3 linked regions of the Astyanax mexicanus genome follow. The main gene of each other region encodes a partner of the protein of the gene in region 2 in a complex. Links are inferred from orthologs where the notes say so. Each region holds a gene or a part of one and is shown on either strand. Other genes may lie near its edges.

Region 1 (10,448 bases), on a different chromosome or scaffold from region 2:
AAGTCCCAGCTGCCACTGTAGATCTCTGGCGGGAGATTATAAACACGTAGCACGTTATCTGCACTATTTGAGAGGATACAGGATCCGTCTGGAGCCCTGAAAGAGAGAAAAAAAAAAAGATAATGGTTTACTTAATATGCACCGTTTCCATTGACACGTATCACTTTTCAATGTTTGCTCACCACTTGCAGCCTTTGAGGTAGTTCTCAGGAGTGTGGGTGTATTCTGCCCAGGACCCGGTCAACATCTGGGGGTTCTGGCTGAAATCTAGCCCAAGACTGTAAAACAAATGACAAAGTCAGATTTCATTTAAAAAACATACCCAAAACATCTTAAACAAGGCTAACTGTACTTACTACTGACGCTGGCAGGATGTGTCCTGTGGACTGGTGTCATCCAACTGATCTCCTCTTTCAGCTTCTTCAACTGCATCCTTGTTTTCTGCTCCATTCTGGTGCCACTCTTTCTCTCCTCCTTGTGAGTCTCCTGCTGTTTTTCCATCCTCCTCTGACTTACTGAGGTCTGAGACACCAACGGAACATTGACTTTCAATTGGATATATTACTTTAGGACGTAATAGGGCTAGTCAACTACACTGCAAAAAATCCATTGGCAAAAACTAGACAAAATATATGCAAATTATGTAATGGGGTAAGCAAAATGTTCTTAGTAAGATTTCTTACAAAAAGCAATGGCAAAAATCTCAAAATGAGTGAAGTAACACCTAAATCAAGCAAAAGTCACTGTTTTGGACACAAGAATCAGAATAACTTGATTGTGCTTATTTTGAGTTCAAATTACTTAAAGTAAGGTATAAATTAAGAAATGATTAAGAAATGATAAGTAAGAATGATTAAGATAAGTATCCCTAAAATAAGCAAAATAATCTAACACTTACAATGCTTAGTAAGACAAAAAGTCTTATCAGAGAAGAAAATAAGATTTATTGCCTTAAATTTAGAAGATTTCACTTGCTAAGATTTAGATTTTTGCAGTGTAAACATGGTTTTATGGTTTCAAACCCACCACTGAATAAAAACACTAGCTCAGAGATTCTCTAAAATACAATGTTTCACTAGGATTAGTGCACAAAACTTTTTGGCAACCAAAATTACTCTGCAAAATATGTATAAAAAATAAATAATTAATAAATTAATAAATGTGTTCCATCAAAATTTAAGTGAAGAGACGAAATACTTTATACCAAACTTTTTTTTTATAAAATGAAAAATCTATTTAGGTCATTTAATATATTTAACAAGAAACAAAGTCAAAATTAATTAAAAAATCTGGCCTAGTGCTTCATTTTGTTTGGTTTCTGTCAAAAATAAATAAATAAATAAAAATAATCAGTGCATCCCTAATTATAAGACCACACAGCAGAAGAAGCTCACCTTTGTCTGTGATCAGAACAATGCCTTGATTCCCACCATCATCAAATGTGGTATCTACACCTGTATCAGTTGGACAAATGTCCAACCCTACTCCTTCAGCAAGACGTGGCTGCTTGGCAGCAGGCGGTACCGCCTCCTCCTCTGCCTCCTCCTGAGCTCCACTGATGGGCAGATTCTGTGAACCTTCTTGAGGAGGCTCTCCATCAGCTTCTGCTTCCTGCCCTGCTGCTCCCAAACCCCCACCTTCACTACTCTGCCCTGGTTCCGACATATCAAGAACTTTCTTTTATTTAAAAAATATGTGCTGCTTTTCTTCAATACGGCTCGTGTGCAAAAGATTTTCAAGACGAGTGGTTTAATTCTCCGTCCCGTCTGTCAAATTGAAATCAAGTAGGTGCTACTGGGGTAATGTTTCTTGCGACGGTGGTTTGATCGTACTCTTAATGGCACTGGGAACATCACAGCAAAAGCAAGACCCTGGCGACACAAGAAGGAAAGAAAATCACAGCATTATTAAAAAAGTAGAAATGGAAAAAAATACATCTAAAACTATAAACAATGATGTTCAAACTATTTGAAAATTTTAAACATAACTGTATCAAGACTAGATACCAGTAGATACCAGTTTTAAATTAAACAACAACTCTGGTAAGTACTGGTAAGATGTTGCCATTCTTTACTTTAGTTAGTTTCTTTTTCAATGCAAGTGGTAGAGCTAAGCTACTGTTTGATTGGCTAATAAATGTATATTCTGACGGACAGACAATAGATCTCAGTCTTGGTTAAGTGCAAGAATACACAAGAAAGAAGGAAAAACAATGTCCACTGCAAAGGACAGAGGGTCTGAAAGTGAGGGGACAACTTATAAAGCATTAATTTACAAAAAAAACAAGCTGTACTATTCTTTGGCTATGATTAATTATCTCGTTCCCACACCTTAATAAATCGTGGTCATGCCTTAATTATTTAGTTTTAACATGATGTCACCTTATGCTGACCTTTTTGGACAATTTTTAAGCGATGTCACTTTCACAGACGAATTTCCAGAGTCTGGACAAAATCATGAGTCTTGCTAGAGTGGAGTTGCGGTCACGTCATCTCAATGGTTCAGTGTAAGGTGGTTAGGGATGAAAGTGTTAGTCAGTCTTTTTCTCTTCCTGATGTTAAGATAAAATCAACCATGTTTAATATTATCGTAAGCCTTGAGACTCGGCTCACAAAAATAGTGATGTCAACAATCAATAGGAGAGCTACAGGAAGCCGCAGGGCAAGAATATTTTATGTGACTGTTTACAAACGATTTGAAAAAGAACACATTTTGCAGTTAATTTGCCTTACTTTAATATGTACATTATTTTAAACACAGGTGGCACTTTTTGCACAGTTATTTTATTTGTGCAGTGATATTTGTGATACAAACAAGTTCAATAAATACAATTTTTGCAAGGATGGTGTTCTTTAGGATGGTATTTGCATTAATTCTACCTAAAACAAAGACGTATAGCAGTGAAAGTGTGATTCTTTGCTAGACAAGGTTGAAGCATAAAAGGGGAAAAGAAGGGGCAGAGGCATGTTCTCCTCCACCAGTCTTACACACTGCTTGTGATTATCAATCTTCCTCTTGATTATATTCCAGAGATTTATATATATATATATATATATATATATATATATATATATATATATATTCCAGACAATTTGGTAAATTCAAGAAATCATTAAGTGTTCTCTTTTTTTTTCTCCCCAGAGCTGTGCATACAAAATTTTACACTCATTACTAGGCATTATAGTCGGCTATGCACTTAAATTAGTTAATAAAATAGTTGAATTAGTTGCAAATATCAATAATTTATCCCTGAGGTACAGGATGAAGCTCTTAAAAAAATGAATGATTAAGAAAATTATCCCTAAACTAAGCAAAATAATCTAACACTTAAGCATAAAATGGGAACAGAAGTTCATAGGCAGAGTTGAACACAAAATGCATTATATTAAAACAATTAAGAACCAACAGTGTGACAGAAAAATAAACTGTTGATGGGGACAAAAGTTGTGAGTCTATATTTAATATATATTATGTGTATATAAAACTCCACCAGAAGCATGATGGGAAATAATCTTAGAAAGAGAATCTGTGCAAAATCGTAGCCTGTAAGTAAAAAGTCTGTGTCTTGTCTTTAGATGTGAGAGAATTTCAGACTTTAGCCTAAAGTCTTTTCAGAGTCTTTTTTAAAGTCGTGTAGTGTATGGACAGCATAAGGGGCTTCATAACTTGCTGTATAGGATTTACGACAAAACTGTAAATAACCCAGATAATCAGATTAATGCACAAATACAGTATTATAGCTGTTAGCTTAAGTCAAATTGGTAGCTGAACAGTGAATATTAGCCTAGCTAATGTTTACAGGCCATTTAACATTAGCTTGCTAGCGTTAGGTTAACTAGTTAGCTAAGGTTAGCTAGTTAACTGTCACAGCAGTACTAGCAGCTCAGACTATCCTCTCAGCAGCTGTATTTATTTATCTATCTATCGGCGGGTGTGGGTATAAATGTATCAGCACGCTGTACAGAGTAAAATACTGCAGCAGTTTAATGTTTTTAATCAGAGTTTAGCTCCAGCCTGGCTGTTACCTGTAGTTCTGCTCCGCTGCTTCCTCCAGCCGTGACTTTCTGAGGATAGCTCTGCTGCCAGCAGTTAAACTCGCTCCCACAGCTGAACCTGTCCCTATAACAACACGAACAGCAGAGAGTCCCGGGTTTAAATCACACACTACGGCCTGAATCCAGCAGACACTCGTGCTGCGTGTTTACACACGAACAGACCCGCCATATCAGCAATATAAACACCGCCAGATATCGCGAGATCTGTGAGTATTTAACAGCGCTGTAATATCAGACTCAACCACCAGAGGTCACTCGCGGACCATCGCTCACAATCAGGCAAATCGTGGGTCCAAATCTGAATATTATTGAAAAGTTACGTTATTTTAGTAATTCTATTAAAAATGTGAAACTCATTTGTTATATAGATATATTACACACAACAGAGTGATCTATTCTAACCATTTATTTATTTTATTGTTGATGATTATTACAGAAAATAGAAGGTTTCAGTGTAACAATGTAACATATTTTTTCATTACCCCTAAACAACTTAAAAGTTCTTTACTTTTAATTATTTATATTGTATATATTGTAGTGTTTATTTTATCTATTTTTATCTATTTATTTTTGCATCTCATCTCATCATTTACAGCTAATGAAAATCCAAAAGTAAGTATCTCATATTATACAGTTCTGGAAAAAAAATTAAAAGAAAACAATGTTTATTTTCCCCAAACATATACCTAAAAATAGCAACATCAGAAAAACTGATTCAGAAACTGAAATGGTTCAGATTTTGCCATCTATAGGTATATAGTAAATAAACATTGTTGTTTTAATTTATAAACTATGGACAAAAATTTTTCATTCCAAATAAAAATACTGTTAAGAGCATTTATTTTCAGAAAATGAGAAATGGCTAAAATAACAAAAAGATGCAGAGCTTTCAGATCTCAAATAATTTTATATTATAAAGTTTTAAGAAAGTTTTTTTTAGAAATCAATATTTGGTGGAATAACCTGTTTTTTAATCACAGTTTTCATTCATCTTGGCATGTATTCCTCCACCAGTCTTACACACTACTTGTGATCATCAATCTTCCTCTTAATTATACTCCAGATTTATATATTTTATATATATTCCAGACAATTTGGTAAATTCAAGAAATCATTTTTAAGTGGTCTTATATTTTTTTTTTCCAGAGCTGTGCACACAAAATTGTACACTCATTACTAGGCAATATTTTTTAGTCGCACTTTAATTTGTTTAATTAGTTGCAAATATCAATAATTCATCCTTGAGGTACAGGATGAAGGTCTTAAAAAAAGGCTCTTTAGTGAAGGTGATTTTTTTAACATAATCAATCAATCAAGTCTTTTTTAAAAAGGTTTACAAAATGTAAATGATAAAACAACAAGGCAACACAAGTCTGTATCCTTAATAATAAGCATTTATTTAGTATTCGTCTTCTTTTTCAAACAAACAAAACCCCAAACTATTTACACGCTGATTAATCAGGACATTACTACTTTGTTGCTAACATTTTCAGTATTGACTTCAGAAAAGTTTTATCTGACTCGTTTAAAAGTTTAGCTACAGGGCTAAGCTGACAGGTAAGAACGAAAAGGCAAATGAACATTTTCTTATCTCCGTTACTGTTAATGTCTTGACATGAGCGGCATGAAAGGAGATTCAGATTCAATACTGATTTTGTCATCGCCCTTTGCATAAAACCAAAATATGGGAAAGAAAATCATCCATAACATGAAATGTTTTTGGGAAAATGTAAGATGTTTCTACAGTCACTACCATTATGTGTTTGGAGTAGCATTAGCTTAGATAACAGATTTTGTTCACATTCTAATAAAGCCCACAGTCAACAAATATACCATACAGTCCAGATTTTAGACCTGTGTCTAAGCCTTTTTCTTGCAAATACATGTAATGGTAATGATGACTCACCCCAGTTAACCTATTGTCATTATCAAGTCTTAAACTGCCTGGTTTGAAACTTTTGCCACAATAAAAATATGGGACTGCATTTCTACGAGCCCTGTAGTCACATCTACGACCTGCTGACTTGGAGAGAGTTGGAGAGAATCTAAAATGTAGAGATAGTCCAGGTAACGTTAGAAAGACAATGCACTTCTTATTAAGAGCACTGCCACACTGTAAAACCTGCATGCAGTGCAAAACCTCGTTACACAACCTGCACTTACCTACAGAGCAGCGCAAATGTACAAGCAGACTAGGGTCTCCAAATAAAGTCAGACTCCAGGGTTAATTACACTGCATTATCTAATTAATTCTAGTACAGAATAAAAAAAGGATATAGGGCTTTGCAACTGTGCAATGCAATGTCCCATACTATTCAGTCAGATTTTGTCTGAACAGGTTACAGTAAGTCACGTCTTTGCATGTGTTTAATTTAGGGCTCAAATGGTTCATTTTTTTTAATCTTCTCGATTAGAAGCAAAGCTTTGATTTTTCTCATTAGAAGATTTTTTAAAGAGCTGTTTAGGCAGCACTGAAGTAAAAGAATGTTGAGCTAAGCCTGGTCAACACATAATTTTTCAATCTTTAAGTAGAGGCTTGTCTGTACAGTTAAGGCATGTCTGAGGAAAGAAAAAAAGAATAATTATCACCACACCCAACAGAAAAAAGCAAAAGTCATGTATACACAGTTTACAGGGCAGCAACTTGCCATGAGTATGTAGTCTTTGTATACATCTGTATTTTTGTGTACGAGTTGGTGTTTGAATACAGTTCAAACCAATCAAGACAGCAGTTGATGCAAGTAGGGTTGTGTGAGATTTGAGTATCTGATGATCATGCAGCGTGTGTGCTGAACATGCCCGGCCATGTATGCAGCAGGGCCGGGGCATACAGCTGCATTACTAGTCTGTACAGGTTTTAACTGCCATAGTTCTGTAGTTCCAGTATCCAGAGGCTCCACTCTTCCACTTATCCACTCCCACTTTCAGTCACCTGGAGCTAAAGCTACCTTTAGAGAGACTCATCTGTCGGTTTTCATTTAATAGCTGTTCTTGAAACGTAGTTTCATGGATAAAAGAGACGAGGGGTCCCCGCTTCTTTCCTGTACTGTCGTTTCGCTCTGTTCTGGAAAGGAGATGATCTCTAGGGTCAGCCTCCTCCAGCTTCACGTGTGTTAAGTGAGAGAGGGGTAAACAGCTGGTCAACATCCTGCTCTGGATCTCTGGAATACTGGTGTAGAAAGAAGAAAAGAGAGCAAGTAATCAGTTAAAACGAAAGAGGATCATCACAAATCAATATCAGACTGGAATTCCAAAAATGTTTTAGCATCATTTCAGCATCATAAAAAGGTTAAGAAGGAGGATCACAGTGGTTTATGTGGTTTAAGAAACTCCTCTAAAATGCATTAAAAATTAAAAGTGCTAATATACGCGAACAGTGAACGGTGCTGTAAAGCAAAGCATACCTTAGGAAATCTTCACTTGCAGATATTATTTATAGTGTAGACAATACACCAATAGTAAAACTAAAAAGTGTAAAATTGAATTGTTGACATAATATGAATATGTTGTTCTGAATCTGGAACTTGGTCTGGTCTGCATACTGTGTGAAAAAAAATTATACACATACCAATAGAAGTTCTCCAAAATGGCTATCAAGCATTTTTTTTATTTCCCAAATGTCTACTTAACAGGAATTAAAAACCTTCTTTTAGTATTTCAATTAAAGTCAATGTAAATAATGTAATTCCAAGTCATTTCAGAGCATTTCCATTGGTTCAAGTCATCAAATTTCTGTATAAAAAAAAAACGACCAAATTATAGTGATATGCAAAAAATTAATGAACGTAAAATTTCTCTCTAATCTAATTAATCCGAATCTTGCAACTGTTTTGTATGTTGTGTGAAAAATATGAAAATAAATATGCCTTAAAATGCCATAAAAACCTAAACTATGAATAGAAGTCAATATAAACAGTATATAACTTAGGAAAATTTATAATGGCCCATTTATTTAAAAAAAAAAAAAAAAAAAAAAAAAAAAAAAAAAAAAAAAACAGACCCTGCATTTTTATTTCAAAAGAAATGTAAGACATTAGCTTTTACTACTTGTTTTGGAATTTAAATAAAATGGCTCTGTGTATTCTTACTATTTTCATAACTAAGCAATAATCAACAACACGATGAAGGTGCAGCAGACAGAGATTAGCTTACAGAAAGTTAGAATTTTCCTTTAAAAGTCTACATGACATGCAAAACAAGTGAGAAAAATGCATTTATTACCAGACAGGCAGTTCTGCTGCACAGGCGACTCCATGCTGACAGTAATCCGCAGCAGTGTAGCAGGCAGTCTATAGAACCAGTTTCACCAGCTCAACCATCCTTCCTCTGGTCCTCCTCCAAGGCCACTTCTCCATCCTTTAATGGAACCATGCGCAGAATTCCACTTTGAACTCCAGCCTCTGATGAAAGCTTTTTTTGTTTGTTTGTTTGTCATCTAGCACCCAGAATCGATCAGTTCATAAACCTTCAGACAGCGGTGTGTCTTTAAGCGTGAAATCTCTGAACGGCTGGAGTTCCATCGTGAAGTTCACAATTCCAAACGAGGAGCAGAGCTGAAGCTGGTGTTCCTCATTACGACATTCAGAGTATCGGATGTCTCATTAGCCTCCTTCATTGGTGTGGAATCAAGCTTAGGGTCAGTCCTAAGAATGGCTGAGAGTTAGTGGAAGGGGGTGTATGATCTATGTACATGTACACAGGGAGTGAAGAGGAGATATACTGCTGTTTGTTTCTGTCTTGCTAATTTATACGCTAACAGAAAGGGTCTGGCTTCAGCAGGATTTTAATTGTCCAAACGTGCCATGTCTCCAAAGTGCCCCTTTCATCTTATTGTCCCCACAGGGTCCTCACAGTTTTGAAAGTGTGTGAAAAGTGCATAGCGAGAGTATCCAGGCAGTGCTTGTTCTTTTTTTCTTTTATTTTCCTCTTTACGAACTGCAAAAAGTCAACTGCCGTGATACTCCCTTATCGCCCATGTGGAAACAGAAAGGCTACTAACGGTCCACAGACTGTGATGGCAGGTCTGAGGTCATACATATATACATCCCTCATGTTTTTCCGGTCATATCCACAATGTTCCAGCATGTTGTAGACACGTCCATCTTTCCATCAACAGAAAACAAAAATTCTAGAGGCAATTTCTAGATGGGGAAGAAAACTGTTAAAGCGTCAAGAGTTGCCTTCGTGCATTTCAAAGTACCCAAAAAAATGGTTTGTGCTGTTTGCTGTTTTTTTTTTTTTTGTTAGTTTTTATGATTTTTGCTTTCTTTTCCAGAAACACGAACCATTTCTTTGCTCTGGATCAACATAAAGTATCTTAAATCCACTGTGATGGAAAAATAGGCCAAAAAAGTACAACAAAAAACAAAACAAATTCAGTAAACAAAACTGGGTCAGCTTTGTAATAACTCCTCATCTCGATGCTAGTTTGATGCTCAAAGCACGGAGAAACCATCATTCTTTTTGCCACACCCATTTCACTACAAGAGGGAGGGGTATTATCATGTGATTACCACAACCCCACCTCCAAACGTTTTTGAATTGAGTCACATTTCCACACCATCACCCTACCCCCACCCACCCCACTAAAGAAGAAAAGAAAGAAATGCACCCACAAATGTCCAAGTGTTTTTTTTTTGTAAACAACCAAAACTCCAGTATGGAATAGATTTTTTTTTTCTTTTTCATTTTCATAGTCATATTGTCTATGAACAGGATTGTAGAGGCAGTGTGTTCTAGCGGTAGTCATCTCGACTTTGTCCATCTGCTTGCTGAACAGGTTTTCCGAAGGAAAAAATATATAAATCAATAGATTCTCCATCCAAACGTCCGACTACTCTTCCATTTTTGCGCTGAATAAAAAGAGGGAAAAAAATCCGGCTTCTGTTTTCTTTTTTTTTTCACCTTTTTTTGGAATACATTCAATGTTTTTTTTAAGAAAGAAATAACACACTTCACATGGTGGCAATGAAATTAAAAACTAAAGGAAAATCACTTAAAAAAGACAAAAAATTAGCAGCCCCAAGTGCTCTTTTGTAGTCCAAATACTTTTTTTTTTAACTTTGTGTGTATATGTGTATTATATTATAGATTCATATATGCAATAACAACAAAAAAAGTCATCATCAACAACAATAACATTAACAACAACAACGACAACAAACAAGTAACATTATATGAACATTTTGTGCGCGGTTATGCGCACTTGCACAGTTTGATGGGATCTTTTTTTTTTCAGTTTTTTTTTTTTTTTTTTTTAAGCCAGTCAGTCACTCGCTCAGGAGTAAGAGAGTGGACAACAAGGCAATGCGAGCCACATCCCCGAAAAGACTGGACAATCCTCTCAATGGACCATCCCCAGGCTACACTAGAATAACTAGAGAGAATGAAGTG
Region 2 (11,006 bases):
TGAACGTATGATAGTGCATCTTGGAGAGTTATTAAAAGTCATATTTAATTTTGATTTGAGTGTAATAAATGAGCTTAAGTGACTGTAGTGACACAGGCATTTATTCTAAAGGGGTAGAATCAAACTATCTGATCAATTGAGGGGGTATGGGATTTTACCACAGGTGGCCATGCAGCATCATGAGGAGATGATTTAGGCAAATGTCAATTTTGCCATAAACATTCTATGTTATGATAACTACAGGTGCTGGTCAACGAATTAGAATAATTTGAAATAGTGCAATCATGAAATTCTTTGAATGCATTTTTTGTGCAGAAAGCAAATCAGGTGTTCACCGCACCTGTCCTACTCGTTAGACTAATCACAGAACTCGTTACCTGGAAAAAAAATTGCTCAGCTGAGCTTTCCAAAAGGCCCATTTAGGCCATTTAACTGTGACACTGTTGTTTTATTGAATTAGAATAATGGAGAAACCGTTTCATTGAATTAGAATAAATGCTCAAATTTTTGTTTTCTGTGAAGAGTGTTCACTGTGCAGTATAAAGTCAGGGTTGAGTAGAATTTCTAAGTTGTAAAATCAATCATGGGTAAGCAGCGCGACCTCTCAACTGGAATAGTGGCTCAAATTCAAGCCCTTCGCCAACAAGGCTTGACCCAAACTAAAATTGCTGAGCAGCTTGGCATCAGCCAGTCTTCCGTCTGCAAAGCTCTCAAGAAAAACTGCAGCAAGCGCACCAACTGTTCCGGCGTCCGAAAAACTTCTGCTAGCGACAACAAGCAGCTGAGAAAGATCGCAGTCAGCAACCGGTTCAAGTCCACTTCCGAGCTCACCGACTTGTGGAACAAGCAGACCGGCGCTGACGTCTCCAGATCAACCACTTACCGTTGTCTGCGCGAACTCGGCTTCAAATCTCACGTTCCAGCAGTAAAACCGATGCTGAACAAGAAACAAATGGAGAAACGGCTGAAGTGGGCCAAAGAACACGGTGAGTGGACTGCTGAAGACTGGCAGAAAGTGGTCTTCAGTGACGAATCACGCTTCTGCATCTCCTTCGGTGACCAAGGTCCTCGTGTCTGGCGTCGTGGTGGCGAAACCTACAACCACGAGTGCGTGAAAAGATCCGTCAAGTTTCCCCAGAGCGTTATGGTCTGGGGATGCATGTCCGCTCGAGGTGTAGGGAAACTCTGCTTCCTCAAGAAGACTGTCAATGCTGCCGTATATCAAGATGTTCTGGAAACGTTCCTGATTCCGACTGTTGAGGAACAGTTCGGCGAAGAAGACTTCATATTTCAACAGGATCTTGCACCGGCTCATGCGGCAAAGTCGACCAAAGATTGGTTCACTAAAAAAACAGCTTGAAGTTTTGGCATGGCCGGCCAACTCGCCTGACCTCAATGTCATTGAAAACCTTTGGGCCATCGTCAAGCGGAAAATTCTCGACAGAAAGCCTACTACGCTGGACCAACTGAAGCAGAACATCGCCACTGCCTGGGAAGCTGTGAGTGCGGAAACTTGCGCCAAGCTGGTCAAATCGATGCCGCGGAGACTTCAGGCAGTCATACAAGCCAAGGGGGCAGGCACAAAATACTGAGAAAGTGATGATTGTAATTATAATAAAAATTATTCTAATTCAATGAAACGGTTTCTCCATTATTCTAATTCAATAAAACAACAGTGTCACAGTTAAATGGCCTAAATGGGCCTTTTGGAAAGCTCAGCTGAGCAAATTTTTTTCCAGGTAACGAGTTCTGTGATTAGTCTAACGAGTAGGACAGGTGCGGTGAACACCTGATTTGCTTTCTGCACAAAAAATGCATTCAAAGAATTTCATGATTGCACTATTTCAAATTATTCTAATTCGTTGACCAGCACCTGTACATTAAGTGAACAAAGTGTCCATAGTTTGAGAGTTGACTTGAGTTTTGTGTACTAAATTCTTTCAAATATTTTATCCTGGTTTTATTCATTTTTTTAGTGTAGACTTATCCCATTATTAAGAACAACAGCTGCTAAAGTGTTGCTCAATGTTTGCATATTTCTATACATGAATGACTGGAAAACACTGAAAAGACCAATGTCATACAATGACCAAGTCAAAAGCCCTGAACTTAATATGAGAATCAAGAATCTGTGAAAACTCACTATTTTTATTTTACTATTATTTTAAGAGCATATTCTGCAAATAAAATACTCAGTATGTGTGTTAGTGTGAATGACTTATTTCAGAACAAATAAAACTGACACTGTTGAAATCATTTCATAGATTTTACTTCAAAATAGTTCAGATATCTCAACACAAACATATCCTTTAGAGTCAAAATAAAGAATGAAAGCAAAATGCAACATTTCTGGAAAAACTACATAAAGTAGCTGTCTGTTTTTAACACCAGTACACAAAATACAGTCAACAGGTTTCAAAAGAAACATGAAAATCATATGGTCATTCTTTCAGCTGAATGGCAATTCCTGGGATTGCTGGTATTACAAAATGTCCATAAAGCTGTGAGGCCCATCAGGATGCCAGGCCACACAGCACATTTACAACTGTGCTGCCAAACATCAACATAAGGCAATAAATGTTCAAATGACACCAATGCAGACAAGCACACACTCAGAGGGGTTTGGGGAGGGCAGAGACTTCCTCCAGACACTCATCATAAGACTCCTTGTATTCATCGTGAGGTTTGATCATGATCACACAGGTGGGACGCTTTGAACCAGCCGAGGAACCCAAATCCTGCAGATGAAATGAAAGGCAGGTGTGTCACAAACTATTGCAAAGAGCATCACAGTCATATATCAATAGTTGTTTATCAAGTTGCTAAGTAATTTGTTAAGCTTAAAATACATCATAAACTGTACACCCAACATGGTCACACTCACCACTTTTGAGGGAATATAAGCATAAGGAAGGTTTCTGTCCTCACACATGACTGGCAAGTGGCAGTAAACATCAATCGGAAGTGTATCTCCAGCAAGCACCACAATCCTGAAAAGGACAGAAAACAAAAGTCGCAAATGTTATTTCTTTAACAGTCCTCAGAAAATTGTTTATTTAATAGCTTCCAAGGTGGTGGCTACCTTCACTATACTAATCTCCACGATTTCTTTAGCAGGGTAATGAAGGCTGTAGTCTATAAATATTCCATAATTGTTTAATGTTAGAATTTAATTAGTTTTTTTTTATTTGCATTTTAGTCACCAAAATTTTCCATAAAGATGGCTAGAAATGTGCTACAACTTGTGGCTAATTAATTTAAACTAACTTTTCTGTATTTTTCATTCATGTTTTCACATTTTCATTTAGAATTAAGGCTTTTGGTTGGTTTTACTGCTCAACTGTATAATAAATTATCACATTTTTTAATAAATGTCTATGGCAACTGTCATATGTTTTTGGAAAAAAGTAGCATCTACTCCTCCAGAGAGTAAACAGAGCGCACAGATCAACTGTTTTTGTAAAAAAAAATAGGTAGAGTCAGGTATTGTCAGTCTTGTTTAAGAGAAAAACCTAATCTATTTTTAAACACTTTGTGGTCGAACACTGACCCTTGGCACAATTACCCAGCCAATGCAAGGTTTTCTTGTTTTGGGAATTTTGCAGAACAGTGAGAACTCCAGGATCTAAAATGGAGTGAACCCACCTTCTACAGTCACACTTTAATTCCTTGCTATTGAGCCAAAAGAGCACATGGTTACGTATGAGTAAAGTTCCTTAAAGCACCCGGTCCATCATTTTAACTCAAGAAGTCCCTATGTGACACACATTGCAGAATAGTGGGTGAATGGATGTTACTTTTTCTGATCTTATTTACAAAATACAGGAGAAATGGGATAGGGCTGGAGACAAAAATAGCTCATTTATACAATGCATTTTCTGTTCCAAGCATTTCAACAGTTTAAAGGCTTAAATAAAATGTTTTGCTTTTCATAGAACTAGTTCTGACCTGACTTCAAGAAGAAAACAATAAGTGAGTAAATTGTTGTTGTGTCCTTTAAGTTACATGAAAGAGCTGCAAATTCAATTTATCAAATTCAATTTTAAAAATGATCAATATTCAGAAATTGGTCTGGGCTCTTATGGGTTTAAAATGTATGAATAGCTTGTCAGTTATGAGTTAGGAGTATCAGAAGTGACTGAGATTGACTTTAGATTAAAATAATCTGTATTTTACCCAGTCTCTCCTTTGTTTATGAACTTCTGCACTTCTTTAACTCCCCGGCGAATCTGTTTCAGCTTGGCCGCTGCAAAACAAAATAAAAAATTACACATTACAGGATCACTCAGGATCTGTCTCGTTCTTTTTATAAGTGTTATATACGTCTGTTAGCTTTTGGGGACTGAAAATAGAATGTTTGTTTGCTGTTCTCACCTTTTTTGACGCATTTATAAAGCTTTTTGCTGAGTTTTCTCGAGGCTAAAGGGTTCGCGATGGGGTTTATATTGGCTATTAAATCCTGGTAGGATCTCTCTGTGGCTCCAGCCTCTTCCTCAGTTGCGCTCTTCTCCTTCTTTATCTTCGTCATATTTAACACTGTGAAATAACGGCAGATAAACTGTTTATTGGGTTTTTAATGCAGTGTTTCGCCGCGCAGCAGCACAAACACACGTGTTGGAGCTGCGTTACTGCCACCAGAGACCCTTCCGCTCTGTCGCCAGCCTGCACTCAGTTTCTGTTCATGACCGCCCCTAGTGAACGGAGGACTGAACCTGGAGTTACCGAAGTACCATAGACATAATAAACATTTTTGTTTAATTAATGTTGTATACAATACAACTCAACAGCCTAAAACAGATACAATATTAGGTCAAATACACATTATATACAACCAACAACTCAAGCACATAAAAACAAAAACACAGATAAACAAACCTAAACAAACATAAAAAAGAAAAGTGGGATTCAAACAAAATCTAAAAGCTTCAAAACATCAATACACTTAGTTTTGTTAATATAAAATGTACCTAAAATTATAATTAAAATTACTGTAAAATTTGTATGGTTAAATAAAGGGACATCAAAAAAAAATAAAATATATATCCGTTTTTAAAGGGGATTTCCTCACCCAACCTCTTCACTTCTAAAAAAAGATCAATTCAAAAAGAGCAAGAAAATCCACAATAAAAAAAATAAATGTAGACATAATATACATAGACACCTCATCATGGGCTGAAGCATCGCCGCCATATTGGTTGGGTCTGTGTAGATAGATAGATAGATAGATAGATACTTTATGTGTATGTATGTGTGTATTTATGTTTTATTCCCATTTCAAATTAACAATAAAACTTTTTTCTTCATTAAAATATCAAATTAATTCATTAATACACTTATTTATACACATTAATATTCCATACCACGTATGTCTTTGTTAAAGAGCATAATACAACGTATTTCAGCTTAAAAGCAGGTATTTGTAATGTGTGTCTGAATCATAACTACATCTCTGCAGTATGTAACAAACCAACCGTGTGAAAATCGGGTAAAAATGGCTAGAGTTGTGATTATTATAGTTGTATTAAAAACCTTCCTCAATACAAAGGCACTTGGGGCGCATGGGAGACCCATCCAATATGGCGGCCCCGCTGATAATCAGCTCCAATATGCGGCATATATGTGTATTATGTCTATGCGTAGTACATGTAAATGCAGGCCAAAGAATCAAAGGGCGTGGCGAATAAGCGAGGATACTGTCAATCATTTCGTCCATCAGCCAATCGTACAACAGAGATCAACTGTCAAAATATTATATAATTAATATTTGAAACAAATAAAGAGACCACTTCAGTTTCAAAATCAATTTCTCTGGTTTTGCTTTTTATAGCAATGTATATGGGTAATGCTGCAGACATGTCAATCATCCAATCAATTAAACCAATTAAATTCTTGCTCTTAGCCATCAAGCACTAATTATTGATCCCTAAATATTTAAATCGGTCGTTGAGCACAATGTTTGTGGTATAGTTACCAGGATGACTGTTTCTCTGTGACTTTGAATTATCATCTGTTATCAGCACTGATAAATACAACCTGACTACAACAAGCTGAAATGCTGTTTCTGCTGCATCCAGCCTCTTAAAGTTAGATCTTATTTACAGCATACGTGTTTACACCTGTCAAAACTTTATTGTATCCTGTAACTCTATTCATAGTAACATGGTGTAATAACAATATTAAATCATAATAATTAAACATTTATAAACTATGACTGCTCTCACTTCATAAAAAATATTTAATATATTAAACTGAGACATAAGATTAGCAATATTAGCTAAATCTGGATTTACAGTTTATGTAAATATGTTTTTATTTTCGTTTATTTTCTTTAATATGTTGAACTTTTTACCCACAACACCAAATATTCCTGCAGTTATGGGGAAATTTAAGCCTTTTCAATACCACTAAAATTAAGAACACTTTAGCAATACAAAATGGCACATTACATTTAAGACTACAGACTTTAGAGTAAGAGTATTCCTGGATGATCTGATAAATATTTGAAACAAACATTAAACTTGTATATCAAATTTGAAAATAGTAAAAAAAAAAAAAAAAAAAAAAACCTTTGGGAGATTTTAAAGATAAAACAGCTAAAAATTACAAGGATAACGTTTCAGCTGTTTTAATGAAACAACAAAAAGCAAAAGTAATGCTGTACTGAACATGCCACATACTACACAACTAAACACATACATTTCCTATAGGCATCTGAGTTCTCAGTGTCCGCACACTACAAGAAAAAACTAGACACATGGCTGTGAGGAGATATATATATATATACACATAATATTACAATTCACTTTCTATAACTTAAATTATTTATATATATAAAAATATCTAACACTGTAGAAAGTGACAAGTTTCTCTTTTGTGATATGCACTTTATATGTACAATGTAAGGTGCACTAACGCTATATTTTTCTGACATATATTTTTTTATAATATTAGAATATGTTAAATAGAGTCTGCTCTTTGGGCACTGCTGATCTAACATTAAGGCACAAAACATGACACATCCCAAAATTGTCAGTATGTCAGTAATAGTGTGACCACTATTAAGTAAACCTTTACAAAGAGGCTTTTCAGGCCATCCTCTCACTCTATGTAATGCCTTCAGAATGCTAACCTCAGAAGTTACAGTACAAAGACATTTGGATTGCACATTGTACTGCTAGAGAATATGTTGTAAACGTAACAGGGTCCCAAACAAACACAATACCTCCCAATCACAAGGTTCAATGAGGTATTATAGTTCTGAAAATTAAGGTACCATGAAGTGTAATACAGTTGTATTACATTGTGGTTGAATCATCTTATACATATAAATACAGTTTTGTATCAGTGTTGACTTCCCAAAAACGCTCATTACAAAATCAAAGAAAAAAATAGTAAAAGGGGGAAAAAATAAACAAACAAACAAAATTACAGAATGTTTTAAATAAAGACAAAAACATAAATCTGTACATGGCAATAAACAAGAACACATAGGTATTTAACACTGCAAAAAACGAAACAAATAAACCATCATATCAGGGACTGAATTAGCTGAAACACCAATAAGCCATAATATTAAATCCACCTGCCTAATACTGTGTTTGTTGGGTATGGACTTCACAAGACATAACCAGCATTAACCTTCGAAGCAATCTGTGCTGTAGTAGCTCATCTGTGGTATTGAACCTAAACCTGGCCTGGCCTTCCTTCCCTATGCACAGCCCTTTTTCTCAGTTCCAACAGATTAACTTCAAAAACTGACTGTTCGCTTGTTGTCTAATGTGTAACTCTCACCCCATGATAGGTGTCACTGCAATAATATAATCAATGTTATTCACTTCATCTGTCTGTGGTGTCAATATTATGGCTGAACAGTGTGCGCATATATAGATCAGTCATGCACTGTTCCAAGAGCTTCAAGTCGGGGTAGTATAAAAAAAACCACACCGGTCATCAAGACTCCTGGGTTTTTACAGCGATGCCCACATGCGCATGACGAATAGTGCGCCCATGAAGTTTGTACCCGTCCTGCTTGACTACGGCTATAATACCGGGCTCCACTCCTTCTGCTGGAGTGTGGCACACTATCTCATGCTGATAAGGGTCATACGTGGACCCCACAGGTTCCATCTTCTCCAGTCCATGTTTGGTGAAAACTTCTTGTAGTCTTCCCTGGATTTGGGCCAGGTTTTCAGTCAGACTGGTTGTCTCTGTGCTCCCTGTAGTTTTCTCCAACATGTCAGCTACTTCAACTAGGTCCCGACAAAAACTTTGAATCCCTGAAGAAGAGACAGAAAATATTAATTATCAAAACAAACTACTGCTGATTAGTGGTTATAAATAGCTGTAATAAAAGCTTTACAGTCATTTTATAATTCAATTGGTATGAATTAGAACTGATCTAACACTGACTGGCAGTTGAGGAAATACATTTTTTAAATGTATTCATTTTAGAAAATAACTGATTTACTACTACAAAATAATTCTGATTATGTTAAAATCTATCATGTATAATTCTAACCTAAATATGTATACACTGTACACTTGATCTACATGGTTACCAGTAATGTTGCTAATAAACTTTCACCAGTCAATAGCAAGGCGCAACTATATTTTCGTTCTGCAATAAATATATATTAAAAAAAAGATTTGTGAGTTTTAAGTGCTAATTTTAATTTGGACAACAAATATGTTTAGGCTGATCGACTGTATCTAAACCAAGTGAGAAAACCTGTAATTTGTAATTATGAAAAAACATGTAGTCTATAATGCCTATAAAACACATTTAACTTTACCAAAGAGCTTGGCGTCCTCGACAAACTTCTGTGTTCTTCTACGGACATTGTCAGAGTCAGCAACAGCTCTTTTGTACCTCTCCTGTGAAACACATGGACATTATACCATATATTTTAACCATGTTTTTTTTTTTTACACCATCCTTACAAAATACATGTAGAACTGCATTAAACCATTGGCAATGAACATTAGCAAAGTGAGTACATGGAGTAAAGCATTGAGTAATCAACAAGACAAATAAACAGAACTATAATTCTGAGAATAAACTTTTTATCTGAGTGATTAATTTAGTCCCATTAAGTATCTTACTCAATAAATTACTTACTGTAAGATCTTGAACCTGCTCCTCCAGTTTGTCAGCCTTCATCTCCAAATTCCTGACGTGTGTAACTGTGTGATTCCGATCATCATCGTCGCCATCATCATTATGGCAGTCGTTTCCTCTCTGGGCTACAGTACTGAAGAAACCAACATTTGAGCTAGAGCAAAAAAAAAAAAGAGAAATCAAAACGTGAAATGCAAAAAATAAATAAATAAATAAATAAAAATACTGAAACGGATCTTAAAAAAAAAATAAAAAAAAAAGACATAAAAGTCAAGAGTCAGAATCAAGTGAAAGCTTCATATTAGTTAGCTTAGTTCTTCTATAGCCAGGGTTTAATACAAGTGTTTCTATCTTTACCAAAGACAACAGCTGTGAGTATTAATGTTTTCTTGTTTTTATTTGTATTACTGTATTTTTTTAATAGAAACATAAATGTTCCTGAATGCAATTCTCCAAAATAAACCCTCAAAAGAATATTTAGATTTTGCATCTTTCCTTTTTCCCTTAACCGGCTTTCTAAAATGTTACATTAAACAGTTAAATTAGTGCAAAATACAAAAATTTTTTTGAGGACTGACGGTGATGGAGGAGCCAACAGCGGGAAAATCTTTAGAAATTAGAAATGTGGTATTGTGTCCAAAAGCGATAAAGAAAGTCATTCTAAATTACTAATATAACTACAATACAATACAATAATTCAAATAACTTAACTGTTTATTATAAACCTGTTTCAGAGGTTTACCTTATTTATAACTTATGTATTTATCTTATCTTAACTTTTTTCCTTAATGAGGAAAAGAGTAACCTCTATGAAGAATTTCCTTAAGACAATTTTACATCAAGTCAGAAAATTACGTTTAAGGCTACCTTTTATTGCAAGTCTAAAAACATATTTTTTTTACCAATTATAATAAAAAACATCATTAAAAAAATTCTTATCTCTTGAGGAGATTTTGAAAGAAAAAAAGGCACTTGAGTGAATCCAGCCCCAGTATTAAAGAAACAGTGTTAGCTTAGCTACAGAAGCTGTGCTGGCACAGTAAAACACCTGTCAGCATCTTAAAATAGATCAATTTAATGTTTAATGGTAGTGTACGGATAGGTTTGTACATAGAGTGTCTTTATAAATGTTCGGCGCAGTGAGTAATGCAAAAAAAATGCAGCGACCTCTCCAGAAAAAAAAAAACAGCTGGCTATTAAATTATTGGCAATCACGCAGCATTACACCATTACACTCTACTCCACTGGCACGTAGGATCATTTGGGCCTTTGGGTAGGATAGCTAACGCTATACAAACAGCCAACTACATTTTAAATTAGCTTCGTTAACTAGTTAACTAAAGTGGACAACATTTGTGCTCAGTTTTGTGTTGCTAATTAACTACCTCACCGGCTAAATCGAGTTATTGATCCACTTTGATAACGCCAGCTGTGTTTTTAACCTAGCTAAGCCAAGCTAGCGTTAGCTAAGTAGCTATTTAAAAACCTAGTTCAGCCAACCTGGGCGCACACACACTAATATATATGTCGTTTCCCTTTACTTACACACTCAAATAACCCGAAAATAGATAATATTTTAAAGTATCATCAGTTTAGTAGCTAGTTAAATAGGTTTACAGCAGAAGAAACATTTAAATATGGCTAGCGTTAATAGTTAGCGTTAGCACACTGACGCTGGGTTAAGAGACGCTGCATTAGCTTAGCCTAGCCTAGCCTGTTTTGGCTAATGGAAAAACAGCCTGAGGCCTAAAGGGGGTAAAGCTAACCAGCGGGGTTTCTTCCCCTTCAATAACTACTTATGGCTCTGATAATCAACACGGACATTCTGACAACAACTTGATTTGTCCACTATCTGTCTTAAATATATAATTCACATTTAAGCTACATG
Region 3 (10,612 bases), about 8.3 Mb from region 2:
TGAAGGTTTAAATTTTTAACTGACAATACTTTAAATGAACTAATTTGTATAATGCAAATTTTAGAGACAGAACTAAATCTTTTACATACAAAACATTAATGGGTGGTCAATACAAGACAAATATCAATTTAAAGATACTAATCTATTACTCTCCCATTGTTTGACTAATACTGATGGATAAAATGAGGCCAATAGAAAAAAAAAACAAGACAAAGTTGATCAGTGTTCTTTAAGCACTGATAACCAAAAAAACACCACCAGAAACATAGTGTTAGTCATTAAAACAATGTATAATATATTTTAAATTTAAATAAAGTTCCAATTTGTTTCCCGGTTAGTCCTTAACATCAACAAACAGGTGTTATTTTACATTCAACACATACGCTCTCACTTACCCTTGCAAGCTGATGCTCATTTTCTATTGCATTGTGCAGCCGTACTATTCCCACATACTCTTTGCCTGAAACACACGGCAAGAGTAGTAAGGAGAGGCCACTGGTTTCACTGGGTGAGGTCAGACTCACTAATCACAAAACCAACTAAACAGAAATTCATAGAAAAAAAAGAACAAAAAAAAAAAAGACTAACTTACCAGCGCTCTGTTGAGACTTGACAAGTCGTGTGGCTCGGTCAACACACACAATCAGGCAGCCTGTGACCTTCGGGTCCAGGGTGCCGCTGTGGCCGGTCTTCTCCACACGCAGGATTCGTTTGATCCAGGCAACCACTTCATGAGAGGAAGGGTTAGCTGGTTTGTCCAGATTAATAAAGCCAGACCTGAACACAGAAACGTAAGATTTTAAAGTACTTCTACCAGCTCAAATAAAAAATATATATATTTTAATTTTACTATAAGCCATCAGTCTTGGGTGATAGATAGATGGTCATCTTTGCACAGAATGCTAATGCAATCTATATAAGATCATCATGTGGCTATTTTGAATGTGCTGCCTGTTAGCCTTATATCAGCTTACCGGACATAATCGTGAATGTTTCTCTTCAGTGGGTTTGAGCCGTGTGGCAGAGGTGTGTAATGTGCCGTCCTTATGTTCAGCTTGTCGAAGTTCTAGATGACAAAACAAAACAAAAAACATTAAAAGATAATCAAACAAGAACAAACAAGTACTAAAAACTTAGCTTGCATAGTTATTTATTTTAAATCTTAATCAATATTTATGATTTAAAGGGATATTAGCGTTAATATTCTCTAAAAATCTAAAAGTGGTGATCAGAACAGTCCGCTCGTCTTTGTTGGCGCTGGTCTGATCTCCCCACACCGGCTGTTCTGAACATCCCACCACTGCTCCAGTAGAACACTGAACCAGCAGAGGATAAACAGGCAACCGTAACCCTGCAGCCCAGAACGGACAGCAGAAGCCGCAGAGAGACAGAGCCGGCAGCACTCAGAGAATGGATAAACACGTTCATCATGTCACCTGCTGAGTTGGCCATGAAGGAAGACTTAGGAATTTAAGAGGAACAGTTACCTTCAATAGTAAAGGCCATTGAGAGGTGTCAAGCTTGGCAACTTTGGATTCAGGTTTAATGAGGAAATCGCCAGTTTCTTGGATCTCCTGAGGGCCAAACACAAAGCAAAACACATGATCAATGTGACAAGAAACAAAAACATGCAATGTCTCTCCCTGGCATATTATCTAAGAGCAAGTACTTAACAAAAAATATCTGCTGAGGTGTTAAGTACAACAAGTACTAGTCTAAAACTGCTCATTTGTTTTTTCTGGGGGTGATTGGGATATGAAGTTCTCTAGATTTACTGTTTATAGGCATGTGGTTTTAGCACATTGTTTTATTCATAAATTACCCATCTCCCAGATTCCACATAAAAATTTCATTCAATGCTTTCAGACTGAAAAATGCAAAGTCAAGCTAATATTCACATTTAAACAATGCTAATGTTCTGCCTTTCAGTGAACTTTACATTAAAAAAAAAAAAAGTACAAAAACTGTATTTGAATGATTATCCTTGATGTGACAGATTTTATATCTTGGCATACTCTACACCAGTCTTTAACATTACTGCTGGGTGATTTTACAAACAAAATTACGAAGCTTAGCTCTGCTAAATGAAATAATTGGAACAGAACAGCTGTCGTGTTTAGACAATATAACTGAAACCTTAGCTAGCTGTCTAGGTTGGTAATTATTTAACTGTTTGAAATTCTTTACAGATTTAATTCCCCATTTGGTTTAGTTACAATAAAAAATAGCATAAAAAGTCAGCAATAAAAGATATCAAACAAGCTGGTGTGAGATTGGTTAGTCCAACCTAATACTCTGACTTTAGATAACAAAAGTATTAACAGTATAATGGTTGATCAAATTGTCAAATTACCCCAATTTCATCATTGGAAATCTTTGACTTCTTCTTCTTCTCCTTCTTAGCTGATCCAACTGTGAAGGAAAAAACAACTATTAAAACAAGCACATTCAGCGAGATATTACCAAAGGACTTGAGCTCTACTGCCTAAACCTAAAAATGTTGTCTACCTACCCAGACATGTGAATTCTGGGTTAAATCCAGTGTCTCTCTCACGTGTATACCTGTCAGTATAATTATTTATAATTTACAGAGTCTAGCCACCTTGGTATAACATTAAAGCTAATAAAACTAAAGAGAAATATCTTAAATGTTTTAAAAGTAAAGCAGCTAGTAGTGGCCAACTATAGTAGCACAGCCAGCACTTGCTTAGTCCTTTTTCGACATAAAACAAATACGTCAGGCTGTATCAGTTTGAAAAAGAAGAAATTGATTTTCATACATTTTTTTTTTACTATCTAGTTTTTTAATTTCAGCCTTTCCCAAACAGAATTTCAAGAAAAATGAAAATCTTTTCTTTATTCTCATTTGACCATTTTTGTCTCTTTCCAAAATGGAAAAATCTGAAAATAAAAAACAGATTAGTTTTCATTTTTCCAGAAAACGAATTGGAAAAATTACACTGCACTACATAAAAAATTACACTCAATTTTCCATTTAGCCTTAACCACTCAGAAACACTGACCACGTTTCAAGAGACTAGGTAACGTTAAATGGTTAAGTTTCTTCTAGATGAGTTAACTAGCTAATTAACTGGATTGTGCAATCCATATTAAGAAAAATAAATTCACAACATTAACACTTATAAGAGAGCAATCAATTTAAATTAAAAACGACAAAAAAACAAAGCACAATGCTTCAGCATTTTCTTTACAGCTTCATGTAAAAAAAAAAAAAAAAAGCTGTGTTAACATTGCAAATTCAGTAGCCCTTAGGTTTTTAACTATTTAATACTTTCATTTTCTACCCCAGCTACACAATATAAATTATTCAGGAATGTTCAAATTTTGGAATAGAAAACAACCAACTGTACTAAACATGCAATGTATTAATAGGTAACTTAGTTAACAAATTGTAGCGATTTAGTGCCTTGGTGGTACAGCACCCACGTGGCGAACGCAGACAACACGTGGTGCACAAACCCAAGCTAGCTAGCTAAAATAATTTCCAAGACTAATTTAATAAATATTCTCTCTAAACTAATAATCATCCTTAATACGGCATTATCACTGACACGTTAAAAATGCATTAAGCTAGGTTTGTCAATTTAATTTTGATGACTAACTTACTGGGGAAAATGTAGGCAGTTAGCCAAGCTAATCTAGCCTAGCTAACGCCAAGTTCTCTAACCGGGTGTTAGTAGGTGAAAAATACTACGCTAGTTATCTTTGCAAAATACCATAAAATAAAGCGATGAAATAAAATATAGAACTAACACGAGTTAAAGTCAAGCTACCAGGCTTTTACACAGCTAAGCTAAAGAGTTTTGCTGGTAAAAGTCGGCCAAGTCATGCACCTCAGTGAGCTAAAGTAACCTTCAAACTAAGCTAAGCTTCAAAATACAAACAATCTAAAACATTTAAACAACTTTAAAAGCATTTTAGCTCCATTAAATGACATAAGCTACTAATTCTGCTCAAGCAAAGAGTCTTTAAAACTGCAGCTAGCTCCCCAAATCTCAATCTCCCCTGCAGCTGCGCCACCCTGCTCTTCATTTTCTCTACCTTCAGAGGTCTAACTATCTATTTACTAAGCTTTACACAAAGCTAAAACATATTAACCGCGTCCTAAAGATGCAGAAACTCACAAACGAAGCTATACAACACAAAAAAAGCTTTAGAAATAATATAAAACACAGAGTTCAACACTGCACCCACTTTCTCCGTCCGCCATCTTCCCCTGCTGCCCGCCGAAGACCAGACCAGCACGTGTGAAGACTCTCACAGAGACCCAAGTCTCGCGGGATAATTCTGCCTAATCTCGCGATAAGAAGGAAAAACGTTTTTATACAATGCTTGGGCAGCAGGTGGAGACACATGCCGAGAGATAAAGCTGCTTAATGTTGATGTATATAAACGAAGTACATCTTTATTGTACTTAAGTACTAGAATTTTATATCTAAATATCTGAAGTATCCGTATTTACTCTGGTATTATTTGTTTCTCCTGCTTCCACTTTTTCTCACTACATATTTTCAATTAATGTAACACTTTTAATCTAATACGTTCTTATGTGCTGCATCCAGAAGAGGATCTAGGATTTTTCTGAGTAAGGGGCCACAATATTTATAGAAGGGCCAAGTATTATTTCACCAGTCACACCATGTTCAAGATAATTTTATGTCAAAACTTTTACACAAAACAATACAAACAAAATAACATGAAATTGAATGCTACTAATGCAGCTGCCTTCAGATTGGACAACAGCTATGATTTAAGACGCAGTCCAGTGTACTTCAGTGGGAGAGGGGGGGCTATAAAGGAACAATATGCATGCTATATGCTATGAGTACGCAACCATTAAGATCATAATACTTTTCCAAGTGTACAGTAGTGACACAGCTATCCAAACAGACTACACTGGGAGACGGAGGCTATATAAGGCATGATAGTGGTTGAAGCAACTGTGACTTGTTGACAACTGCCACTAGCTGAGTAACTCATTAAACGGCTCGTCAGAATGATATGCCGGTAAAATTGACTGCAGTTGTAAGAAATCTTATATTTAGTAAAATGTGTCTAAAAGCAAAAAAAAAAAAGGAAGGAACCCTAATTTACCATGCAAATTTCAGACACATGCTAGGAGAAATAAACAATTCTTCTAGTGTAACTTTCCCAGTGTACAGTTGTGACTGCCTGCCTGCACAAACTGCAATGAGAGATGTGGACTTTATAAGATACGATATCCGCATGTATTTACATCATGATGGTGAGTCCTCAAAAACTCACAAAAACATCAAACCAACCATACTAAAACACCACAACACCTGCATAGCAATCCTCCAATCAAATTAAAGGTGATGTCTGTAAGTTTTGGGATTTAGGGCCCTCTCTGGTGAGAATGGGTAATTGTACCGAGCATGCGGAAGAATCATTTTAAACTGGTCGGGTGTGATGAGGTCTCCTTTCAGAGCGGATGAATCCGATTCCAGGTTATGTTCAGTCAGAGAGAGAGAGCGTGCTTAGTAAGAAACTTCACTTCTTCGTTTCTTTGGTTTTACTCTGGGTAAATGAGCTACTGAGCTCTGATTTCCCCTTCTGAAGTCGCCATTGCTCCACCAGCCACTCGCGTTCAGTAAAACTGAGCCGGATCCTCTTTTAGAGGCTGTGAATGTGACGTAAAGATGCGTGACATGGTCAGAAGAACTTCTGCGAAAAGTGACCCGACAGCCCAGTTTTAAGAATTAATATATTAGGCTTAGCAGGGATGATCATTCCAGCACACTGGTACCATTAAACACAATATTTTATCCCTTCACCACTCAGAAATGCTTCTGCTTTCAGTTTAGAAACACAATAATACGGACTGCCACTTTAACTAGATAGAAAATTAAATGCACCAATCAAATCTTCAGAAAAATCACTGGAGAGGAGTAAACCCACTTCTGTTCAGAATCTGTTCTGAGTCTCTCCGGCCACCAGGGGGAGTCCTGAAATAAGTGTACAATGAACAATGAATATTATATATACATGATCAACATTTCCCCAATAATAGGAGATGTAATGACAGTTAGACAAGACAAACGAAAAAAAACAACAACAATGTATGCAAGCTGTAAAATATATTTATTTGCATGGGGTGGTTTTGAGGCTTTAGTTGTGTGTACAATCATTTTTTTACACTACAGTAAAAATACAGTAAAAATAAAATGCCTGCAGCAAACAGACCTTCAAATGTACAAACTGCCTATTATTCTTCAGCAATTTGGGATCGTACCTGTTATCTGTACAACACATCGTGACATTACCAAAAACATTGACTTTGCTCTTCACAGTTTCCTTTGCTCACCCTGTATATGTATCCCAAATTCTGTGTCAACAACAGACCTCACAACCATTTTACATTATGGAACATGGAAATAAGAACTGCTTAAAATGTCTGTAAGCAAGTGCCTGATCACAGAGCAGCACAACTGATTGTATTTTTATTAAAATCACCAAACTGCAAAAAGCGGCAATTAATTAAACTGTCGCTCAAATGATCGTTTTTTAATTTAACAGTATTTAATTTAATTTAATAGTGAAACCTAGCTAGCTAGCACTCTTTAAACCTGTGTTAAGAAATGTAATTTTTACACTGACAAGACAAAAGTTATGGGAAAACAGAATGTAAATTGAAGTGTTACCACAGACAACAGCTTGGGAAAGGTCACACCTGCATAAGTTTTGAGTGAAGCTGAACACTGGCTAGACATGACAAAAGTCATGGGACACAATACTAGACACTGAACCATGAACTGTACCATGTCAGCGCATTGTATTATAGCAAGAATTATTTGACTAATTGACATTTTGTACAATTGGTGGATGTGTATTTTATAGTGCTCAATTTATTATACAATAATTAAACAATTAAGTGTTGTTTTGTTCTGAAACCTATGCGCTTTCATATCTGTGAACTTTGGACCAGCAATCTTAAGCATATCTAAGATGATATTTAAGATAGCTGTAAGGGGAAAACATATGAATTAAGAAAATGCTGAAGAAAACAGATTTATTTTGGCCACGTTTTGCATTCTAAATAGCTACAAATATTTATAAAATTCTATTATATACTATTCTGACCGCATACTGGACAACTGGACTATAGTCTTTAGTGAAATATAAGCTAGTCTTTAGTGAAATATAAGCAATACGCTGCCACTGACAATAAGTTACTTGAGGTTAAATCACAACATGGTCAAAGGTGGAGGAATGCTGATCACTCCCACATTGAAGTAATCTCCATTAAATCTGCTGCCTGTTCTGTTATCAGTTAAAGAACAGGGTCTGGTTCAGCAGCACAGGAAATAAACTCCTCCTCCTCCTCCTCCTCTGATGATGATGATGATGACTGATCCCCAAGAACTTCAAATCATCAGCTTCCTGTTCACACTGATTCATAAGCTTGTTCCATTTCAATATTAGGATTATTATTAAGACATTTGTTCACATTTTACCTCCTGGTGTTATTATTTTTCATCCCTTACACATTCCAACTAACGTCTGACATGACTGGCGATAAAATAAAAAAAAAAGGTTCCTTATTCCTTATTAGGGAATATTACAGAAAAACATACATTTAAGCACACACATTGGGTATCTGGAATGCCTACCAACGCACAAACTGTGAAATTGTACAGTCAAAAATTTTCATTTTGTGGGACATGTAGGAGATAAAAATATGTATTCAACATGCCATTCAAAATTGTCACAGTTGCTACGTCGCTGGCCATCTGATTATAATTACACCACCCCAACCATAATAGCTCCACCCACTTACTTTGAGAAGGTAGAGTTTCAAAAGATAAAAAACTAACAAACAGATACAAAACAAAAGAAAACAAAAAGCAACTGTCAGTTCATAGGGTGTGACTTCTTTTGGCTATTCTGAAAATATACAGCTCTGGAAAAAAATAAGAGACCACTTAAAAATGATGTGTTTTTTTATTTTACCAAATTAAAAACCTCTGGAATATAATCAAGAGGAAGATGGATGATCACAAGACATCAAACCAAGCTGAACTGCTTGACTTTTTGCATCAGGAGTGGCATATAGTTATCCAAAAGCAGTGTGTAAGACTGGTGGAGGAGAACATGCCAAGATGCATGAAAACTGTAATTAAATTTCACAGTTATTCCACCAAATATAGATTTCTGAACTCTTAAACTTTATGAATATGAATGTTTCTGTTGTCTTTGCATAATTTGAGGTCTGGGAGCTCTGCGTCTTTTTTGGTATTTCAGTAATTTCTCATTTTCTGCAAATAAATGCTCTAAATGATAATATTTTAATTTGGAATTTGGGAGAAATGTTGTCTTTAGTTTATAGAATAAAACAACAATGGTGATTTTACTCAGACATATAGCTATAAAAAGCAAAATCAGCAAAACTGATTCAGAAACTGAAGTGGTTTCTAAATTTTTTCTATAAGTGTATACCAAAAATTGATGACAAAAAGCAGAACATGAAGATGAAAATTGGATGCATAGCACCACATAGAGAGAAGATAGATCTTAAAAGACCATAATGAAAAAAGAACACATAAAGGTTTAATCCTAAATCATACACTACTCCCTGGTACTATAGTATTGAAGTGGACTATAGTACCGTCATTTCAATAAAGAATTATACATTTGTAATTGAACAAAACTGACAATTATTCATGTAAAAATCAGAAGTCTTTAACTATCTGTACATACAAATGTAGTTTTATTTTCCTTATATACTTCACTACGTAGGGAGTGTACAGTATTTGATATTCAGCAAGAATTGTTCTTAAAAAGCTCTGTTTTCTTCATTTACAAGACAACACTGAAAAGAGGGTTTTCGAAAATGTCCACCTTTTCAAAAAGCTTAATTTTCAGTAAATGTTGGAAAAAATAAAACTTAAACTAGAAAAATAAACTTAAAAGTCTAAGAATCCGTGTAGCAGAGAAGAGTGATAAATATGGAAAAACGGTGGGGGAGGTTGGAATAACGGTGGTCTATTATCATTTAAAGATAGAGGCACTCAAAACCGCTGTTCTAAACAGGGTTGTAAATGGTTGATGTGGTGCTTCTTTCTTGTGCTATTTTGACCAAAGCCTGTCATACACATTTCATTAAGGCCCAAAGTAGCCGTGACATTTAAGGCCACCAGAGAGACAGACCCTCTAAAAGTTCTTAACCTTTGATTTAAATGCACAAAACATGTATAAAGGATATGACTGATCTGTACCGATTACGCTAATGCTATTTCCGTTATCCTTTGGTGTGTCCTAGTGTTAGCTGTTTGCTGTTCAAGCCTGAAGGCCGAGGGAGCGGGCTGTGTTGAGCACGTCGTCTCTGGTCAGATAACAGCCACAGAGCTGGCGGAGCCCAGTGAAGGACTCTCTACCATGCAGCACTCTCCAGTTATCAATGAAAAGAACCTAAACAGATAGAAAAAGATTTTGCTTCTTTAGTTTTACACAAAAGCCAAAGCCTAATCTAGCTACTAATGTAGCTCACAAGTAAAAAATCTTGCTTGCTTACCTTGCCAGGTTTAAGTTTGACCCACAGCTCGTTCTCAGGCTTCCTCAGCTCAGTAGTTAGCTGTCTGTGGGCGACATACCAGCGCTGCACCACGTTGTGAGGAACCGTGTTCATCGTTGCACGGTCATAGTTATTATACCTAAACAACAAAGAGGCATTATGACAATATCATTATCACAGCATAAACTATTGAATATCTCAGTCAAAAAACACAGACCAGCTAGAGCAGTGCTACGTGCAGAAGCTCATTTTAGTGCTTCAAATCAGCCTTAAACAACATTTGTATTTGCTGGTGGACATAACAGCATTGCTTTCCCACATCAAGAACCCATGCATCAACAACTTAACAATGAATGCACCATGTCATGCCTTTTTACTAACTGTGAACTCCTGCACCAGTAAAGATTTACAGAATCAATTTTGTCAAATCCAGAAGACAAGCCAACAACTCTCTTGCAGCTTTAAGTAGGCAAGTCATTTGATGATTCGATGATAGTGTGCAAATCGAGTAGCTACTCCCATCTCATTTAAGCCACATTTTTTAAAATCTGTGTTATAATTTATTTCACTTTTCCATGTCCCATCTTATCTGAATACAGCTTGAGACTATTTCTACAAAGAGAGAGCTTGAGTAGTCAGTACAAGTTTTGCCTACCGGATCATGTAGACTTCATTGTTCCAAGGATAGACGTTCAGAACAGGGCCGATGCCGATCATGTGGTTTCGGTGGTGGCCTTGGTTCTCGATGTACTCGTGTTTGATGGGGACGCGTGAGAGAAGCTCAAAGTTCTCAGGTGATTGCTGGAGCACTTTGTCAGCAGCGTTAAATCCATCCACCAACAGAGTTCTGCCGCCTGTGCCCTCATGCCTTAGACAGTGGAACACCTGGATCCTACCATGAAGCCAGAGAGGGTAAAAAGAGTGTAAGTGATGCACAGAAATGGACAGAAAAAATCTACAGTGTTATTAGATTCAACTTTTTTGTCATTGTTCAGAGTACAGGTACTGAGCTATTGAAATGCATTTAACATATACACAGCTCTAGAAAAAAAAAAATAA

Evidence for each region.
Region 1: nhp2 (region 2) and wrap53 share a complex: the UniProt entries of both Homo sapiens proteins name them as parts of the telomerase holoenzyme complex. The link is inferred for Astyanax mexicanus from reciprocal best matches to the Homo sapiens genes NHP2 and WRAP53.
Region 3: nhp2 (region 2) and dkc1 share a complex: the UniProt entries of both Homo sapiens proteins name them as parts of the H/ACA small nucleolar ribonucleoprotein (H/ACA snoRNP) complex. The link is inferred for Astyanax mexicanus from reciprocal best matches to the Homo sapiens genes NHP2 and DKC1.

What each region holds. Positions count from the first base shown.
Region 1 is NC_064415.1:15,364,445-15,374,892, forward strand, and holds the start of wrap53 (telomerase Cajal body protein 1), read right to left. Parts: upstream 4,243-10,448; 5' UTR 4,026-4,242; intron 1,872-4,025; 5' UTR 1,666-1,871; coding exon 1,395-1,665; intron 523-1,394; coding exon 357-522; intron 279-356; coding exon 183-278; intron 97-182; coding exon 1-96. UniProt on the Homo sapiens protein: RNA chaperone that plays a key role in telomere maintenance and RNA localization to Cajal bodies. Specifically recognizes and binds the Cajal body box (CAB box) present in both small Cajal body RNAs (scaRNAs) and telomerase RNA template component (TERC).
Region 2 is NC_064424.1:10,694,699-10,705,704, reverse strand, and holds nhp2 (H/ACA ribonucleoprotein complex subunit 2-like protein), read right to left. Parts: upstream 4,710-11,006; 5' UTR 4,529-4,709; coding exon 4,375-4,528; intron 4,247-4,374; coding exon 4,177-4,246; intron 2,991-4,176; coding exon 2,885-2,990; intron 2,739-2,884; coding exon 2,613-2,738; 3' UTR 2,254-2,612; downstream 1-2,253. Other genes in the region: grpel2 (grpE protein homolog 2, mitochondrial), read right to left, coding at 7,951-8,276, 8,793-8,874, 9,119-9,272. UniProt on the Homo sapiens protein: Required for ribosome biogenesis and telomere maintenance. Part of the H/ACA small nucleolar ribonucleoprotein (H/ACA snoRNP) complex, which catalyzes pseudouridylation of rRNA.
Region 3 is NC_064424.1:18,992,675-19,003,286, reverse strand, and holds the start of dkc1 (H/ACA ribonucleoprotein complex subunit DKC1), read right to left. Parts: upstream 4,283-10,612; 5' UTR 4,232-4,282; coding exon 4,216-4,231; intron 2,413-4,215; coding exon 2,354-2,412; intron 1,575-2,353; coding exon 1,488-1,574; intron 1,437-1,487; exon of another isoform or gene 1,225-1,436; intron 1,067-1,224; coding exon 975-1,066; intron 935-974; exon of another isoform or gene 855-934; intron 778-854; coding exon 593-777; intron 461-592; coding exon 396-460; intron 1-395. Other genes in the region: tmlhe (trimethyllysine dioxygenase, mitochondrial), read right to left, coding at 9,319-9,450, 9,554-9,692, 10,209-10,445.